Arabidopsis thaliana: one gene and its partner. The protein of the gene in region 2 interacts with the protein of the main gene of each other region in a pairwise test. Each region holds a gene or a part of one and is shown on either strand. Other genes may lie near its edges.

Region 1 (4,515 bases), on a different chromosome or scaffold from region 2:
CAAGGTTTGTCTCCAAGCTACAAGTTAACCAAAGCGACTCTTCTATGCCATCTATGTGTCTACCTTGTCCCCACCTAAATCTTAGCCTGAGTTCAAAATGATTTGATTTGAGTGCTCTATATACTATTTCTTTTGGTTACTTAGTTTATAAACGAGTAACTAACTAGCCCATAATATTCAATATCCATATAAATACAGTCATTAGAATTATATTTAAACAAGTGTTGGTGGATCAATCTATGGACTGATGGTACTTATTCCGGTTTCTTGTGATAGAGAGAGAAGTAATCGTGTCCACATCATATTATTGACGTTTTTCCCCTTTCTATAGCAAAGTTTTAACTTTTATGGGTCCATAATGTGATGTACATACATAACTGAGTGAAACTAGATGTCAAGATTTTTCTTATAAACTATTTTGAAAAATAGTGCAATCGACAGGCTAGGTCTACAAAACGTTGAATTTAACCTCTCATTTTTCGAAAGTGACATGTCTCTACATAGCAAACACCTAGTTAACATTGAAACGTGAAAAAGAAAGAAAGGAATATATAAGTTGAATAATTGATCCCGAATTCGAATGTCTACGAAAGACTTTATAACAGTTCCAACACATCAATGATCGATCCGGAGATATTTTGTTAAGTTAACATAGATTGATCAGTGTGAGAAACAAATGTAAAAAAAAAAAAAACTTACCTCTTTGAACCAGAAACTCTTCTAAGGAGAGCAAGAAAACACAACACACGATAAAGTACGAAAAACCCTAACAAAACATAAACATTAAACCACCTCTGTTTCTCATGAAGTCCTTTCTTCTTCAACACGTCACCTCCAGTAACCATGCAGATCTTTGTTTGAGCTTCCTCCAACCAGACCAAACACTTGGAGGCTAAGCACGAGTACTCGTTTATCAGAAGTGCATCCAATGCATACTTATACATTGAGAAGAAGTACATGAAAAGCCAGTACTTGGGAAGACTTTCCTTGGAAATGAAGTAACCGGAAAACAAGAAGAAAGCCGCTAGAAGAATTGTCACAAGAGAGGTTCCCGTAATGTAATTTGGGGCAAGAGAGCTCAAGAAGAGAACAAAAGAGTTCGCCATTAGGAGAATGATCCATATCACGAGAACGAAGTACCCAAAAGCTTGCCATGTGGGGCAGAGACCAATGAGGAAATAGACCGAAACAGAGTAAATGATTGAGATAACGAACAAGTACGGCAAGAATACGAGTGTATTTGCGAGAATGTGAGAGGAGAGTCTGTAAATACCACTCGAAGTCTCCCTGAGAAGAATTGGACGCTCGTTGATGAAGATCGGGAGGGTTTCGGTTGTTGAAGAGAGGAGAAAAGTGAGCGTGAAGGCGAACATACCGAATCTTTTCTCAATTCCTGCTTTGCCGATTCCGATGTTGATGTAGATAGTTCCTAGGACAAGACCAACTACAAGGGCTTCTAATGCATTGGTTAGAAGTAGTTGCCTTGTCCGGTAAATGATCTTCCAGAATCTTCTCGCGAGAAGGCTTATCTCGGTGATTCTTGATTTTCTATATCGAACAATACTCTGTTTTTCTCTCTGTTTCCGGTTTTCGATTGAAGGGAGAGCAGTAGCATCGGTGTTTCCGTCGGATTCTCGTAGTTCTTGAAGTATTTCCATTGCATATTCAAGGGAATTGAGCTGCGGAGGGACGGTAAATCCCTTGAAGAGCAAGAAACCTTCGAGGGAGTCAAGTCTTCCGTGGTACACAACAGTTCCTTTTGAAAGAAGTAACAACCGATCGATGATAGACAGAATCTTGAAGCTAGGCTGGTGAATGGACAATATCACGGTCCGTTGTCTTGACACAGCGATGGATTTGAGGATGTGAATGACGTCAAAAGCGGATTTACTGTCTAAACCCGAAGTGGGTTCATCGAGGAGAAGAAAGCAAGGGTCGTGAAGGAGGCTTAACCCTATCGAGACTCTTCTTCTTTCGCCACCGGATAAGCCTTGAGCGAGTCTTGTGTGGGAAAGATGTGTTAGGTTAAGCTCTGATAGAAGAGAGGTTACGGTTTCAGAAACTATTGATGGGTTTGGGAGCAAGAGACAAGCAGCGAAGGAGAAGGTCTCGGAGACGGTGAGGAGAGGGAAGAAAGAGTCATGTTGGGGAACGTAAGAGGAGATTTTTCGATAAGAGGAAGGGTTAATGGGAATGGAGTTAAGGAGGATTGAACCGGAAGTTGGGGAGGTTTTAGAGGCGAGAATGTCAAGGAGAGTTGATTTTCCGGCGCCGGAAGGGCCAACGACGGCGAGGATCTCGGTTGGATGAGCGGTGAGAGTGATGTTGCGGAGGATAAAGGAGGGTGGCTCAGTCGCCGGGAAGCGGAGGAGGGAGAGAGAGGTTTTTGGTATGGTGTAGGAGATTGAAGAGGTGGTTAATGTGTAGGCCGCCGTCTCCGGCGGAGGTGATGGAGGTATTTCCATAGAGAATGGTTCTAAGTTCTAACTTGTAAGAGTTTAAGACGTTGAAGAGTGTAGTGAATGAGATTTATATAATTAAGTTTTTATTTGGTCTTGTGATGATGTAAATGTTGTAAGCCAAAAACCTAATTTTACATTTTTGGGTTGTTTTCTTTCACTAAGATTTTTTGGATTTTTGCAGTATATTGTTTTAACCTTCGAAATGTATATGTGTATATCGGTAGAGTTTTGGGTCAAAAATCTCTCAAATAAATATTATTTTTCTTTTTTTTCTCCACATATACATCACCTTCGAATTCGAATACAATCTCTAAACAAAAAAAAAATCGTAATGTTTTTATAATTTTCGATCTAATTTACGACAAAATAAAAAATAGAGAATGTAGCTTATGGGCTTGAAAATTTACATAGGCCTATACATTACGGGCTTTATGAAACTCATATGTAGCCCTGTAAATAAATAAACGAGAACCAAATTGGATAGACAAAGCCACTTATTGAGATAATAATAAAATGGAATTGTAGTCTTGTAGATAATGTTCCCATTCTCAAACTAAAACATTGTCCAATATCGATTGGAAAAAATGTCAAAAGAAATCACGAACTTTTAAATTTAGGACGAAAAAAACATAAACTTGTGAAATGTTATTTAAATCACAAAATTTTATTTGATTTCTGAAAAAAATGGTCAGGGCATGTCGTTATTTTTCTGTTAGCAGACCAAAATGGCCTAGTCAACAAAATTTGACCATTTTATTCAAAAACCAAACAAAATTTCGTAATTTAAATGACATTTCACAAGTTCATTTTTTCGTCCAAATTTAAAAATTCACAATTCTTTTTGACATTTTTCCAAATATTGATCCAAAACTAAGTCCATTAATCGTGTTCTCTCTCACACATCAATTTCTCTCGCTTCTCTCCACAAAGATCTCAAATTAGCTCTTACTCTACCATCTTAGCTCAGATGGCACCTCAAGTGAACCATTTAAATGATGATTCATTTTGTTTATGAATGATGATTCATTTCCACTTGCAAATTCCAATTTCCTTGGATTTTGTTCCACATTAGTTACATTTTCATAATGAAATTTGTTTCTTGTTTGTTAAATATTTTTGCCGAAGTATGAATTACTCCAATTCTTCTTATTTCAAATAAGTCTATAAATAAGATATAGTAATATGCCCTTAATCACAAACAGTCACATGCAATGCATTCAAAATCCCATGATTAGTATATAGAGACCTCGAGTAATGTAAAAGAACCTCAACTTAAACTACCATGTTCGTTAATTAATTATAACTTTCGAACAAATATATGGCTAAATACAGGTAATCTATAATACAATTTGCGATGATTAGGACATTGTGTACATACATAAACAGACAGATCATTTTTTTCGTCGGACAAATAAACTTGAAAACATTATTAAGCTAAATTGGTCGGAGACATGTGTCCTACGTTAGCATCTAAAGAAAATCTAAGAAGAGGGGACAACCAAATCTACTTGAAAAGTCTTATGAAACTAAACAAGAAGTTCCTTTTTTTTTTTTTTGTCAAGAACAAGAAGTTCCTTTTTGTTCTATACTTCTATGTAGTAGAAAACGGTGTCGTTTTGAAAGTGCAACGTATTCTTCCTCATGTGGGACTTTTAAACATGGCCACGTGTATGGTTCTCCGGCGTCGATTGCTCTTTGCTTCCTTGTGAGGTGGTTGTTCTCGACATGATATTGATAGTGTTGATTATTTATTTCTGTATTAATTGACATGATAGTGATCATGATTATTGTTTAGACAAAAGAAAAAGAAAAGAAAAACTCCAAAGAGAAGTGAATGTGTTATTTTGTTTTTTGAGTTTCGAGCGGATCTTGTATTATGATTCTGCACAGAATGTTATGAGACTGATCCATTGCACGCGTTGAGTTTGTTTTATGCTCATCACTATTACTACTTCGGAAGCATCCCACGGCATATAAACTCGTCTTATAATTAGGAGGTAATATAACTTAAGCTGTTCAAGTCTAATATATAAATATATACAGATTTTGATCT
Region 2 (5,066 bases):
CTAATCGAGATCATAGACAAACAATTTCGACAAAGAGAGAAAGATCTTACTTGAATATTCTTCGACCGGATCATAGGACATGGTTTCGTCCGCAGCGGATGAGATACTTTGTGAATTTAGGGTTTAGTATCTATAAATTTTATGTAAATCGAACAGTTAACCTTATGTGTATATGAGCATTTTCTTATTTTCAATAGATTTTTTTTTTTATAACTTTCCATAAGTACTAGGGTTTTGTATAACGTAAAGTATGGTTCAAAAAGTTATAAATAGACTAGGAAAATATGATCACACATGAGTAGTTTGGTCTTTTGCCCACTTAGATCATATAAACATGGAGCCAAAATTCCAACCGACCAAAAAACTTCATGCAGTTAGCGAGTTTTGGTTGAAACATGACGAAATCTCTTTAGTTTTCCCCAAAGAGGGACACCTTGGGAATGTGAGAATCGACGGTTACGTTGTTAATAAATTGCCGAAAGAATTTTTTTTGGGAGGCTTATGGGGATCACGGTATCACAATTCATTTGGATCCAGAAGGTGAATTCTTTTTCTTAAAACCCACTTTTCTCTTTATACATACATTTATATATGTATATAATCTACATCTCTGAAATATTTTCCAAGTGATGAAAGTATGAGATATAACATGATGTTACTACTATACTACAACTTCTTTATTGGGCACACATGTATAACTCCGAAAGTAATTTGCTGGTACTCTAAAGTAACCAAAACTTTGGACAAGACATATCAGATAAGAGAAAGAAATTAAAGGCCACTTGTTTTTATTGGACAACACAACTAGTATCTAGTTTAAGTCAGCAACTCTTTTGCACGGCTGTAAAAAATGTTGGATATCTAATTAATTTTTAAGTTCCTCTATCAAGGCTTCTCGATTTATCTATCAGTCATTGGACTGGAAGAATTTTCCCTTGTTGTGGCAGTGTGATACCACTTCTCATCATCGCACAAAATTCTTCATAGTTTATTCTTCCATCCTGCAAAAGAGACCCATTAATCTCAATCTTGGCTTAAGACTTGTTCATAACCTTTTTGATGCTGTGTAGAGGGAAAACAAAACTTACGTTATCTGTATCGACTTCCGCTATGACTTCTTTGATGCTAGCTTCATCTCCCATACCATACTCTTTCATGGCTGACTCCAACTCATCCATTGTGATAAACCTGTGTTAAGAAAAATCCAAATTTGTTTCTTAAAGTAGCGTCAAGTCTATATTTACCTTGTTCCTCAAGGGACTAAACTTACCCGCTGTTGTCTTTGTCGAAGTATTGGAAGGCTTTGAATACGTGTTCATCTCGATCAAATCTGTATCTATGCATCGTTGCTGAGATAAATTCGATGTAGTCAATTGTTCCATTACCATCTACATCAGCCTGAAACATATATAAAATAAAAGTCTTTTGTTAGAATAATAAGTAACATAAGAAGCAGAGCAAATAGGATGGCAATACTTACGGCTTCCATGAGTTGCTTCACTTCAGCTTCAGTGAGTTTAGAGCCAAGTTTAGCTAGCCCGTTTTTCAGTTCTTCATAAGTGATTGTGCCGCTTTTGTCAGTATCCATATTCGCAAACATGGTTTTAAGACCTTTAATTTCCTCTTCCGAGAGACTCTCTGCAATAACCTGCAAAACAGATCAGAAACAGAACCAATGATCAGGGAATATAGAAGAAAATGCTACTTCTAGATAGAAATTTGTTTTTACCTTTAGAGCTAGCTTTTTAAGCTTATTCATTGCTCGGAATTGCTTCATCCGAGATAAAACAGCACTATCAATAGGCTTGTCCGGTGCTTCTCCTCCTCTGATCCAAGGATGTTCTGAAAAAACAACACCACAAGGATCACTACAGATTAGTAAAGCACTGAAAAGTACGTCAACTACAAAACCGCACTTAGAGAGACCAATGTGACTTTACCAAGAGCTTGTGCCGCTGAGATTCGTTGCTTAGGGTCCTTAGTAAGCAACTTCCTCACAAGATCTTTAGCACTCTCAGATATAGAAGGCCATGGTTGGCTATCAAAATCAATTTCTCCCTTTATAATCTCATTAAATATCCCCTTCTCAGTTTCTACAATGTAACCACAACAACAACACAAATAAACAACATAATTAAAAGGATAAACCAAATCAAAGAATTGGTCAGATTTTATTACCAGACCAAAAAGGAGGCACACCACAAAGCAAGATGTATAGAATAATCCCTGCACTCCAAATATCGATTTCTTTTCCATAACTTCTTCTTAATACTTCAGGAGCAACATAGTAAGCACTTCCTACTATATCCCTATAAACTTTCCCTGCAATTTTTGTTTTACGGTTTAGAAACAAAACACATTAAGCATATGAACACAAGATCATCAACTAACTAACTAAACTGACATAATTTGACAATAAGGAAAGGAAAAGAACACACAAGTTCTATAATAATCCATTGACACACATTCTCAAGTTCACACAAAACTAGCAAAACCTCTGATTTCAAGCTTACCACTATCTACTAAATCACTAAATGAAACAAGATTCTTAAGATACAGACTATTCTTAACAAAATCTATATCCACAATATAACTCCAACATTCATCAGAATCTTAAGATATCTAAAACATTCGCATATATATACTAAAAAGCAGAACAAGAGATATGATCACACAAACTCACCTTCTTCAATGAACACAGACAATCCAAAATCAGTAGCTTTAAGCATAGCATTCTCATCAGTACTAGCGAGCAGAAAATTCTCAGGCTTGAGATCACGATGAATCACTCCCATGAAATGACAAATCTGAACAACATTCAAAACCGATCTAATAACACCAGCAGCTGCTTTCTCAGAGTAATGTCCTTGAGCTATAATCCTATCGAACAATTCACTACCACCACACAACTCCATCACCAAATGTATCGATTGTCTATCTTCATAAGCACCTTTGATCTCAACAATGTTCTCTTGTCCAGACAAATACTGCATTATCTGAATCTCTCTCTTCACATCATCTATGTCTTGCTTTCTCGTTAGTTTCCTCTTGAGTATTGATTTGCAAGCGTATGTGTTGCCTGTTGAATTCTCTTTGCAAGTGTAGGTTATACCAAATTGGCCTCGACCTAATTCTTTACCTAACGTGTAAAGTTTCCTTATTTCTTCAAAGGGTTTGCCTAGAATTGTCTCTGTTTCTCTAAAAACGATTGGTTTCAATGGTTGTGTTAGAACGTGCTTCTTTTCGATTTGCTGATTAACGGGTTTGGATTCTTGTTGGTGATGATGATTTGATTGGGTTGTTGTCGGAATTTGAGGAGAAGGAGGTTTCTGAGGCTTGAGAACATCACGAGAGACATGGTTTTCAGGTTGATTTGTCGGAATTGAGCTCTGTACGCTGCCATTGATGATATCACTCTCTGTGTTTCGGTGTTTGCTGCTAAAGCAACCCATTTTTAGGTTTTTTTTAATAGAATTTCTTGTGTTCTCGGTTAGAGGAGAAGTAAGTCCGATTGGGAAATTTATGTTTTCTCACGAGTTTTTTTTTATTACCATTTATGTCCCGCCGACATTAACGGTTTTAATTTAATTTTTACACGGAAATATTCCATTTTCAGCTATCTTAAATTCTTGATTATTCTAATCAAAGCTAGAGTTTAAGAGAAAGACCGTTGAATTAATTTTTTTGATATTGAATTTGGTTGATCAATGTTAAATTACATGTAGAATAGACGAGTGATTTTAAATAAATGATGATTACACTAGTTATTGTATAGTGCTTAATTAATTACTTCAACTCTATGGACAAATCATATACTACAATCAAATATTAATGATCAAATTAATTACGTAAAATTAACCATAAAACCCGGTTTGGCTCCACACGGCGTCTCTGACCCGTCTCATGTCACGTCCTTTTAACGTTCTTCCCACGCCCAAAAACACGGACGAACCACCGTCACCGTTACGGCTACGCGCGGCCACGTATTCATGAGGCGGTACCATCGCACTCTCCCAATCACAATCCGCCACGTCAGCATTATCATTATCGTTATTATTATTATGCATTGACTTGACGGACTCCACCTTTAGGATCTTGCTCCAGTCAGGAACTTTCACCGGCGCAGAAGTCGCCACGTGTCTCTTCCTCTGTCCATCACTCGGAACGGTCAGGTCACTCACGCGTCCTCCCTTCCGTCTCCATTCACTGCCACTGGCCTCGAGAGAGCGTGCGTTCCACGCACCTAGTTCCTTTGGTTCGTCAGGCTCGACCACCGACCAGACATCCTCTTCCATGAGCTCCAGCTCAAAGGTAGTTTCTCCGTCCACATGATGGTCATCGGACTGCTGATGGCTCCCAAGAAACCTCTCGCTTCGACTAATCGGTAAGCTCCGACCTTTGCCCATATCTCTCTTGGTTACCTAAGAAAATTGTATACCCGCTGTGATTTAAATCGTAAATTACGTTTATTCACCTAGTTATCAAAATTAATACTTTTTCGTTGGGTTTTTCAAAATATATTTGGAAGTGAAGGTGGGGGATGAGGATGAGCATGTGTGTGTGTGAATATATATACACTAAAGGTGAATAGGTATTGCTTTTTGTGTGTGGTTTTACTCAGTTATGTTCGGTAAGATCAGAAGAAGATGTCATAGTCCACGTAAAAGAACCATTTAGATAACGACGCACTACTATTTTGTATTTCTTTCAGCATTTTAGACGAGAGCTAGTAACTTCAGACTTATTTTTTCCCATTCTAAAAGTAATTTCAATCATATACAATGTGATGTCTTACTTGCCGACGTACCATCATGCATTCTAACAACATTTCTACAGTAGCTTCAATATAGATTTGTGAGACACACGATGATTAATTTTGATAAGTAAGGAATTTTATATCAAATCTATATTAATCCATATAGTCCGTGAAACTTCTGATATTCTTGTCATTTAAAACCCTCATTCACAGTATTGAAGTATAACTAAAATCATGGTACCATTTAGAGATTTGTGCACGTCCTAGTATGTACAATAGTCGTTAAGCTTAGCCAAGCATACGTGAAATA

Evidence for each region. Proteins that work in one complex are often made in the same cells at the same time.
Region 1: the proteins of CPK15 (region 2) and ABCG8 interact in a protein complementation assay, tested with the Arabidopsis thaliana proteins (one large-scale study listed by BioGRID).

What each region holds. Positions count from the first base shown.
Region 1 is NC_003076.8:21,419,081-21,423,595, forward strand, and holds ABCG8 (ABC-2 type transporter family protein), read right to left. Parts: upstream 2,636-4,515; 5' UTR 2,466-2,635; coding exon 696-2,465; 3' UTR 510-695; downstream 1-509.
Region 2 is NC_003075.7:11,639,233-11,644,298, reverse strand, and holds CPK15 (calcium-dependent protein kinase 15), read right to left. Parts: upstream 3,498-5,066; 5' UTR 3,453-3,497; coding exon 2,684-3,452; intron 2,323-2,683; coding exon 2,179-2,322; intron 2,094-2,178; coding exon 1,941-2,093; intron 1,843-1,940; coding exon 1,730-1,842; intron 1,649-1,729; coding exon 1,481-1,648; intron 1,399-1,480; coding exon 1,271-1,398; coding exon of another isoform or gene 1,267-1,270; exon of another isoform or gene 1,189-1,266; coding exon 1,089-1,188; intron 1,002-1,088; coding exon 921-1,001; coding exon of another isoform or gene 912-920; exon of another isoform or gene 842-911; coding exon 812-841; 3' UTR 537-811; downstream 1-536. Other genes in the region: AT4G21930 (senescence regulator (Protein of unknown function, DUF584)), read right to left, coding at 3,855-4,406; AT4G21926 (uncharacterized protein), read left to right, coding at 4,329-4,384, 4,534-4,583.